Caenorhabditis elegans: one gene and its partner. The protein of the gene in region 2 interacts with the protein of the main gene of each other region in a biochemical or structural test. Each region holds a gene or a part of one and is shown on either strand. Other genes may lie near its edges. The genes, in order: npr-6 and flp-26.

Evidence for each region.
Region 1: the proteins of flp-26 (region 2) and npr-6 interact in a test that uses a peptide from one of them, tested with the Caenorhabditis elegans proteins (one large-scale study listed by BioGRID).

What each region holds. Positions count from the first base shown.
Region 1 is NC_003284.9:10,282,286-10,287,617, forward strand, and holds npr-6 (G-protein coupled receptors family 1 profile domain-containing protein), read right to left. Parts: upstream 3,450-5,332; 5' UTR 3,411-3,449; coding exon 3,327-3,410; intron 3,198-3,326; coding exon 3,111-3,197; intron 3,060-3,110; coding exon 2,965-3,059; intron 2,916-2,964; coding exon 2,830-2,915; intron 2,773-2,829; coding exon 2,660-2,772; intron 2,441-2,659; coding exon 2,264-2,440; intron 2,176-2,263; coding exon 2,000-2,175; intron 1,953-1,999; coding exon 1,815-1,952; intron 1,324-1,814; coding exon 1,250-1,323; intron 1,202-1,249; coding exon 1,118-1,201; intron 961-1,117; coding exon 866-960; 3' UTR 534-865; downstream 1-533. Other genes in the region: slc-9B.1 (Cation/H+ exchanger transmembrane domain-containing protein), read left to right, coding at 1-38, 93-224.
Region 2 is NC_003284.9:7,027,282-7,030,284, reverse strand, and holds flp-26 (GGAGEPLAFSPDMLSLRF-amide), read right to left. Parts: upstream 1,150-3,003; 5' UTR 1,111-1,149; coding exon 1,036-1,110; intron 953-1,035; coding exon 773-952; 3' UTR 645-772; downstream 1-644. UniProt on the Caenorhabditis elegans protein: FMRFamides and FMRFamide-like peptides are neuropeptides.

The DNA of each region.
Region 1 (5,332 bases), 3.3 Mb from region 2:
TTGTTGGATCTAAATGTCTCTCTCAATACAATCCACAGGTAGCGTTCTCACTCCCATTTTTGAAATGCAATGTGAAACAAATTTTCATTCAGGATGCGCCGGCAATTGAGAAAAATTTTGACAAAACCTATATGAATGGTGATCATGTTGATGAAACCATCTATGCCGCCCGTCCGAAGACATATTCGGAATACCGCAGTGAAGCTGTTATCGAAAGATATTAAAAATTTACCCAAACTTTTTAGATTTTATTACAATTTTCCTCTGAAAAAAAAAACAAAATAATTCCTAATTTCCCATATTTATAATATTATTATCAAGTCAATTCAAATTCAATTTAAATGACCATAACCAGGAAAAGACATTTCACCAATTTTCCAATTCGATTTATTTTACTTATCCACATCTACCAATTTCCCGTTCCAGCATGTTTTTAAATATGTCATTCTGAAATTTCGTCATGATTCTGTTATACCCTTCTTACTTGAACCATATCTGATCTTATCAACCACACCAGTTGAACCAATTTTTTGTAACCAATATGAAATTTCATTTACAAATATTTTATCAAAATGTGACAAGAAGAAGAAACAAAAGATAAATCAGCATCAAGCAAGATTTGTGCAAATACAGCAGTGCATAAGTTAAGTATAACCACATAGTTTAGATCAGGACAGGTTTGATCAGAGATTTAGCTGAAAAAATCTTAGGAAAGAAAAACAATATGACCAAAAAAATAAAATGTTGAATAAGTGTTTTTATGAAAATTACATATGAAGGCAAGTGGAAAGCGGATAAATGTACTGGCAAGTGACATGACTAAAAGCGACTTTTGTTCTGACTTTCCGGTTTTGTATTGAGCGGCTTAAAGCAGAAGCGTCTGACAACTTGATCCGTTCTCAGGCTCATCGAGATACACGATACTGCGCTGCGGCTCCACTGCAGTTTGAAGTGGACTCTCTGAATCTGTTTCTAAAGATTGCTGGTTTGTTGAAAAGTTCACTGACAACGAGTGCATGCAGGGAATGAATGGCTTCCTATTCTTCGTTGGATGTCGGGTGTAAAAGTTCTTAACGAAGAATAACTAAGGATCAAACAACATAAAAGTAAAACTCACCAGAAATCACCGTAACAGGCTGTTCCTCCACTTTTTTTTTTCGGTTTGCACGTCGAAACGGGTTAGTTATCATAGCGGTGCGTTCTAAAAAAAAAGCTAAGCAAAAATAACTTCAAATTTATCAGGTTTTACCAGTGATGACGCGAATTGGACCAGTTCCAGGACGACGCGCAAACAAGCAGGGAACAACTTTTGCGAACTCCTCACTGAAAATGAGCATTGCAAGAAAATGAAAATTAAATAATTCAATTTATTGAATTTAATTTAATTGAATTTAATTGAATTTTGAACTGTGCAAATTTTTTAAATAATCCTAAATTTACCAAAAAGTGTCTTTTTTTTTAGTTTAATCTGTTTCTAATTATAAGAAGAAACAGTGTCACGAGAGGAAATTTTATTGAGTATTTATAAAAAATAAATTTTTAATAAAATAAATGAGAACTGAACACACAAATGCAGTCTAAGATAAAACTTCTTGACTTTTTATCAATTGTATTTTCTAGCACATGTTTACGTATCAAATTTTATAACTTGTATTTTCAACCTGAACGAGAAGAAAACAACCCCTCGTAATCTTTTAACTGCAATTTATTTTCCAATAAATCGTTGAGTCACTAATGATTATCAATTGTTGTCTGTATTGTTTAAAACGGGTTTTCGACCAGACGGCGGCGAAATGCAAATCCCATAAACCCACCGGAAGGTCTCATTCATGAATGCGTAGAGGATTGGATTCCAGGCGGTAGCTGTCATACTCATCAAATGCACGGAAAGGAAAACAAAACTGAAGTAGCCACGCATGAAATTATCCAACTTGAGATCTCGGAGACAGTTTCTGAATTTATTTCAAATATATGACATATTATTCACTTCTAAACTAACAAGAGGTTGAATGGGAACCAGCAAATTGCGAAGATGACCACCATGACAATCAACATCCGTAGTAAACGCTTTTTGCGCTTGATATCGGATTTTCTCTCGGTCATACTTTGACGGCTATTTAGGAACAACCATATTTTTATGTAACTAATGGCAATGAGTACAAATGGCAAAATGAACTGAAAATTGATTTGTGCATAGGCATAGATATATGTATATATAATCCCCCGGTAATTTATACAAATAATTTCATTGTCCCCAACTCACTTGAAGAATCATCACCACAATTCCAAAAATAGATCGAAATTCGGCATTGCTCCAGTCCTCACTACATATCAGAAAATCACATGGTTCATGAATGTAGTTGAGCTTCATGTTGATGGCATACGGAGTGACCAGAAGCAATGAGCATAGCCAAATGAGGACAATGAACGAAAGGCAAGACTGAATTTGGTATGTACGAAAGTTTCAAAAAAATTTTAAAAATTAGAATTTTTTCCAATTACAAAGTTGTTCTACACCGAAAACAGGAAAAACTATTATTTTCATGGAGGTTACTTTGTTAACTGTACTTCAAAAACACCTTTCTATAGACTAAGAAATGAGAGTTTTGGTTTTTTGGAGTTAGGTTTTTTATTGATACATTGTTCCTGCTCAACTTACTCTCATGGACATTCTATCATTTATATTGATATTTGATGAGTTGTGCACGATCACTATGTATCGATCTATGGCTATAGCCGTAAGTGTCCACGTACTGATGAAGATACTTGTACCTGTATAGTTAGATGCTTGATCACTGCTTAACTTCCCGTCTATATGTAAACCAATACCTTGGAACAGGGGTAAACCATGACACAATCCACCTCCGAATATCCAATGTCCTATTGAGGTGTATGTTGGTGTAAGCCACAACGATCTGAATATAAGAACCGGATATATCACTTCCGATTTCAAAAAAAACCCACGTAAAGTTAACCATTATATCAGAAACTGCGAGATTTGTAATAAAAATGTTGGTGATCGTCTGCATTCGCTTGTTCGTCATCACAACGTACACCACCTTAAACACAGTTGTTGGAAAACTGGAGAAATCGAAAATGATATTACTTACCAAAAAATTACCGGAACTAGCAACCAAAAAAACAGCACAATACATAGAAATAAAGAATGGGCGGAAATATTCCATTTCCATGGGGTTCTGAAACGTGTTTTTTTAAAATAAAAATTACTCGGCTTCAGTTAAAATAATTCATAATCAAATAGTTTCAATGAACATTTTTGATTTTTTTTCAAACGTTCACGAACAATTTTGGACACGAAAACTTACGTTTTTGATTTTACATGTACTTTGATATGAAGGTGTTGTTTCATTTAGTATAGAAGACACTGAAGGCACGAGATCATTCGACATCTGAATCAAATATTATCAGAAATTGGGATAAACGAAGAGCTGAAAATATTAGAATCGGGAGATAAATCGAGTACATTTTAAGAATTGTGAACTGGATATGTTTGGTTGCGATGTGTCTCGTTTAGACCTCTTTAAGTTCATAATATTCTGACGTGGGCGCGGTGGAAGAGTCGGAAATGAACTTGATTTTAAGGAGAAAAAACGAGATTTGACACGTTTCATAGAGCAAAAGATGTTAGAAGTATTTTCAAATTTAAAGCTCCCAAAAGAATATAAAATTGAGAATATGTTAAGTCAGTTATGAAAATTTAATGATATTCGCATCTTTGCAATTGACACTAGAAGAGCGACCACATCTAAACTAGAAATCTACATAGTTCATATAATACAAAACTGATGTCATGATTTTTGAAAAAAAAAATCAATAAAAATTACAATATTAATAATACACTATTAAACAGATTCAATAGAACCCAAAGTTTTCAATGATTTTTTAAAAATTGTTTGTTTTCAATTCTTCTTGTCAATCAAATAAAAAAGAGAACATGAGCCAAACACTTCCCTCATTTTCTTATTTTCTCACTTTCTGTGTGAGACTTGCAATTCTAGACGCGAAAAGTGAATCTCAAAGTGAGAAAAGAGGAGGCGTCGTGAACTTTTAAAAGGGAAAGAATCCATATACATGTGAGAAATTTTCTCTTTTTCGAAATAAGCTGAGACCCTTCTTTTTTCCCTTTACGTTAAACAAACTACATACTCATTTATTTAAAATTTGCCTAAAAACTGGTACGCAAACGCACAAAGCGAATCGAGAGTCCTTTGATTTATGTTATGAATTCATCTTCGATGAAGCGAATTTTGAATTTCCTATAAAAAACAGAAAGAAAGGGTCGAAATTCGAAGAAGAAGACGCTTACGTAAGTTCAACAAGCTAGATTCAAATTATTTGGTTTCAATTGAAAATCAGAAATGAAATATGGACGTGGAGAAGAAATAGAAAAAAGATAATGTAAGGAGCCAATGGATTTAATCTCTCTAAATGGTGGGATGTGAAACATTCATGAGATGTAGGCTACTACGAACCAAGGATAATGTTATTATCTTGATTGATAAAGCTCTCATTGTTGCAAAAAAAAGGACTCGCATAGTAGGTGACCTTTTTTAGAACATTTCCTTTTGATAGTTTCGTCTTTGCCCTTGCCCTGTCTATGTATAGGGTTCATCCGTCTATTCTCTATTTTTCGTCTGGAAATCCGACTCCAATACCGCGGAAATTGAATTTCGACCGGGCGATGAGGGGCACCAGAAAAAAGTCGAGAAAAACTGAAGCACTCCTTGAGGTGGAAAAGGAGAAACGTTGCACATGAACTAAAGTAAACAATTCTGAGAGGGCGGATAAGCTTTGGTGAAACTGAGACAACCAAATACAGCTCAAAATTGTAAGGCAAAGGATAGAAATTGGATAATGAGCGTAGGAAAACATTTTTGAAAACAGAAATCAGAATAAATCGAAAATTAATATAAATTTTAGCTCAAGGAGTATACTTGATGACACAACGAAAATTTTAATGAAACGTCACATTTATCAAAATAGATAAGTGAGCACGGTTTGGAGAAAAAATCAGTTGACCGAGAACAAAAAACTCAGACGTTTTTCTTCTAATTCATAATATTTACTAGTCAGATAAAAATTTGATTCGAACGACGAAACTAAAGTGAATCAAATTGGTTGGTGAGTTCTGTGTTCTCCGAAAATGATGATGATATGTTTTCAGCAAAAAGCCTCAAAAACCATGATCAGCTTCACTTATTCACTCATATCTTCGGGAAGAGTTCGAAAAAAACAACAAAATCAGAAATTGTTTCGATTGTATGTAATTTTGTTGAAAACGTATTGAATATATGTGAACTTGTATTTGTAT
Region 2 (3,003 bases):
TGGTATACATATTTTTGAGACTGACTCAATGAAGTGAGTGTTGAATAAGAAACTTACATTTCCAAATAAAACAAGTAATTTAAACTTATGTTCCAAAGCTTGTAATCAATCACACTGTTCAACCCATGTAGTGTGACTTTTTATCAGTGCATTTTTGTGAGACTTCTGGGGAAAGGGGGAAGTTGACTCGAATACTAAAATGATGCATAATATAATAATACTTACATACAACCAAATAGGAACCAGTGTTTTAATAGAAACTTATGTTCAAATTTCCGGAGAAAAAATCAATTTTTAACTTTTTGCATAAAAATTCGCATCAAAAAATTGTTTTTGAATAATGGAAAATCTAGCTTTTCTGATGAAACAATTTCGCATTCTTCGGAAAATAATTGAAATAAACATCAATTTCAGCTAGATTGTTTTATTCAGTCTGTTCAAATTTCAGAAGGAAAATCTACTATTAATTTTTTACATAAAAATTCGAATGAAAAAAAACTATTTTGGCCGTTGTTTCAAAATTTATGTTTGAATCAGTTATTGGAATGACATTTTTGAATCAGGGTTTGAAAGACATTTTCAATGGTAGTTTGGTTGTTTGAAAAGAAATGGCTTTTCATTTTTTTCAATCTCCTGATATTGCATTAACAAAAAAAACTTTATTAGGCATCGTAACTAAGCGTCGTCCAACCAAGAGAAAAGAAAACGAGAGAGTGGTATACAAAGAGATCATATCATTGTTTTTTCGTCACTGATAAGTTTTTGTCAATAACTACTTTCCAAAGCGGAGTGAAAGCATATCCGGCGAAAAAGCCAACGGTTCACCAGCTCCTCCGCGCTTTCCGAAACGAAGGGTTAAATCGTCGGCGTTAAACTCTCTTTTGTAGGGCTTCGACTCGTAGTAGTTGCGTTTTGTCAATCCACTGTTGAAGTCTTCATTAGCTCCGAAAAACTGTAAAAACTACATGACGCATGATTTTTTGTTGATAGGTTGCGTTTTTTATAACATGTTCAGTTTTGGAAGGGCTATGATACCTGGAATGGAAGTCGGAAGGCACTGGTTGCAACGAGAGAGCTGAAAAGGAGAGCAAGCATGAACATCACCTTCATTGTGAAAACTGTAAGTGTTCTTGACGGGTTACCTTCAAAAATATATTAAAATATAGTTAGACTCAATTTGTTTTAAATTTGGAAGATAAAAACGGGGGGATTAGGGAAACTTGAAATGGTTCCTAGTTTTTCTATTATGTGGCTTCCCAAAATATACATAGTAGGAACCAACGAGGAAGTTTCAACATGTCAAATTTCGTTCCTATTTACATAGGCGATCTAGTATATTTCTCATGATTACTTCCTTGCTCTTAAAAAGGATAAAAATGGGCAAAAGTATAGTTTCAAGGATCTGAAGATATCCCAATTAGATACTTCTCTTTTGTCTTCATACTTTCATAGAGAAATTAATTAAAACATAGGAGGCAATGTGATGTCTGCCGAGAGCTCAGCGCAGCTCGGAAACAAAATAAAGAAGTCGTCGCATTTTACACTTTCGTTTTTTTAGGATAGAAAGAAAATTGTGAGAAAAAGTGAGTAAGTCTGTGTTTTAGGAATTAGGAGTTCACTGGAAAAAAAACAACAACTAATACCAGTGAGATTGCTATTAACTGATTTGGTTTGTTTTCAGGGCAAAGAGGGAAAATATAAAATAGAAATGACGAGGAGTTCATTCCTACAATTGTTTCTCGTGAAGAATTTCAATGATGATCGTATGAAGAGACTAAAGTGTGGAAGGAGGAGCAAGTGGGGGGGGGGGGGGGGATGACGGGGAAATTAGCAGTTTCTATACGAAATATAAATGGAAAAAGTAGGTGGAGCATACCAACCGATCATGACAAACCCCACCGTGCTCCTCCTTTCGGATCCTTTTTCGGCATTCTGTTACCCGGAAATAACAGAAGCTCACGTTGGGCCATAAAACCCGGCGAACAAAAGGTGATGCGTTCCAGGGCTCAAAAATGACGTACGGGTCATAAAATTTTATGTTCATGATGGAAATGGTGAAATCCAAACTGCGCAGTTTCTCACAATAGTGAGCTTCTTGAATCCTGACAAATTGATTGAATGCTCATATATGGTTTCGCAAAGGCCGCCAACTTTTCTTAATTAAAACAAAAAAAATCTTGAAGCTTGACTATGATTCATACGATTGATGAATCATTACAAGTATGATGTGTCTCGTTGCTTAGAAGTATTAATTTAGGTATTGAAATCATCAAAAAATAGTGGGAGAATGTAGATTGGTCACAATAGTCTATTCTATTTGGAAGTGAAATAGGGTCTGTATTATCATCTGGTTATAGCCGTCTATTTGATTACGTGATTGAAAATTGAGTTATCGACTCATGTCATTTTTAGTCGAATATTGAAGTACACTATCACAATCAATGACATGCACTGGAAGGTCAGAGCTAGCAAGTTCAGCCTTTACAAGATTAATATAACATTAGAGTATTAGTGAAGTATACCTAATACTTCCAAATACTTCCAATACTGGGAGAAATGTAGATTGGTCACAATAGTCTATTCTATTTGGAAGTGAAATAGGGTCTGTATTATCATCTGGTTATAGCCGTCTATTTGATTACGTGATTGAAAATTGAATATTGAAGTACACTATCACAATCAATGACATGCACTGGAAGGTCAGAGCTAGCATGTTCAGCCTTTACAAGATTAATATAACATTAGAGTATTAGTGAAGTATACCTAATACTTCCAAATACTTCCAATACTTCCAATACGTTATCAAACCTTTAATGAAAACGTGAAATTTATTTGCATATTTAGGGTTAGAAAAACACCAATCCTAAACTTAATTTGTAAAGGAACACTAAAAATTCAAAATGGTGAATATGCTCGGGCCAGATTATACTACACAATTACCAACATTACCTAACTGCAAGAAAATGCAGGGAGAGAAAATTTAAAGAAAACGACTTTTATAAG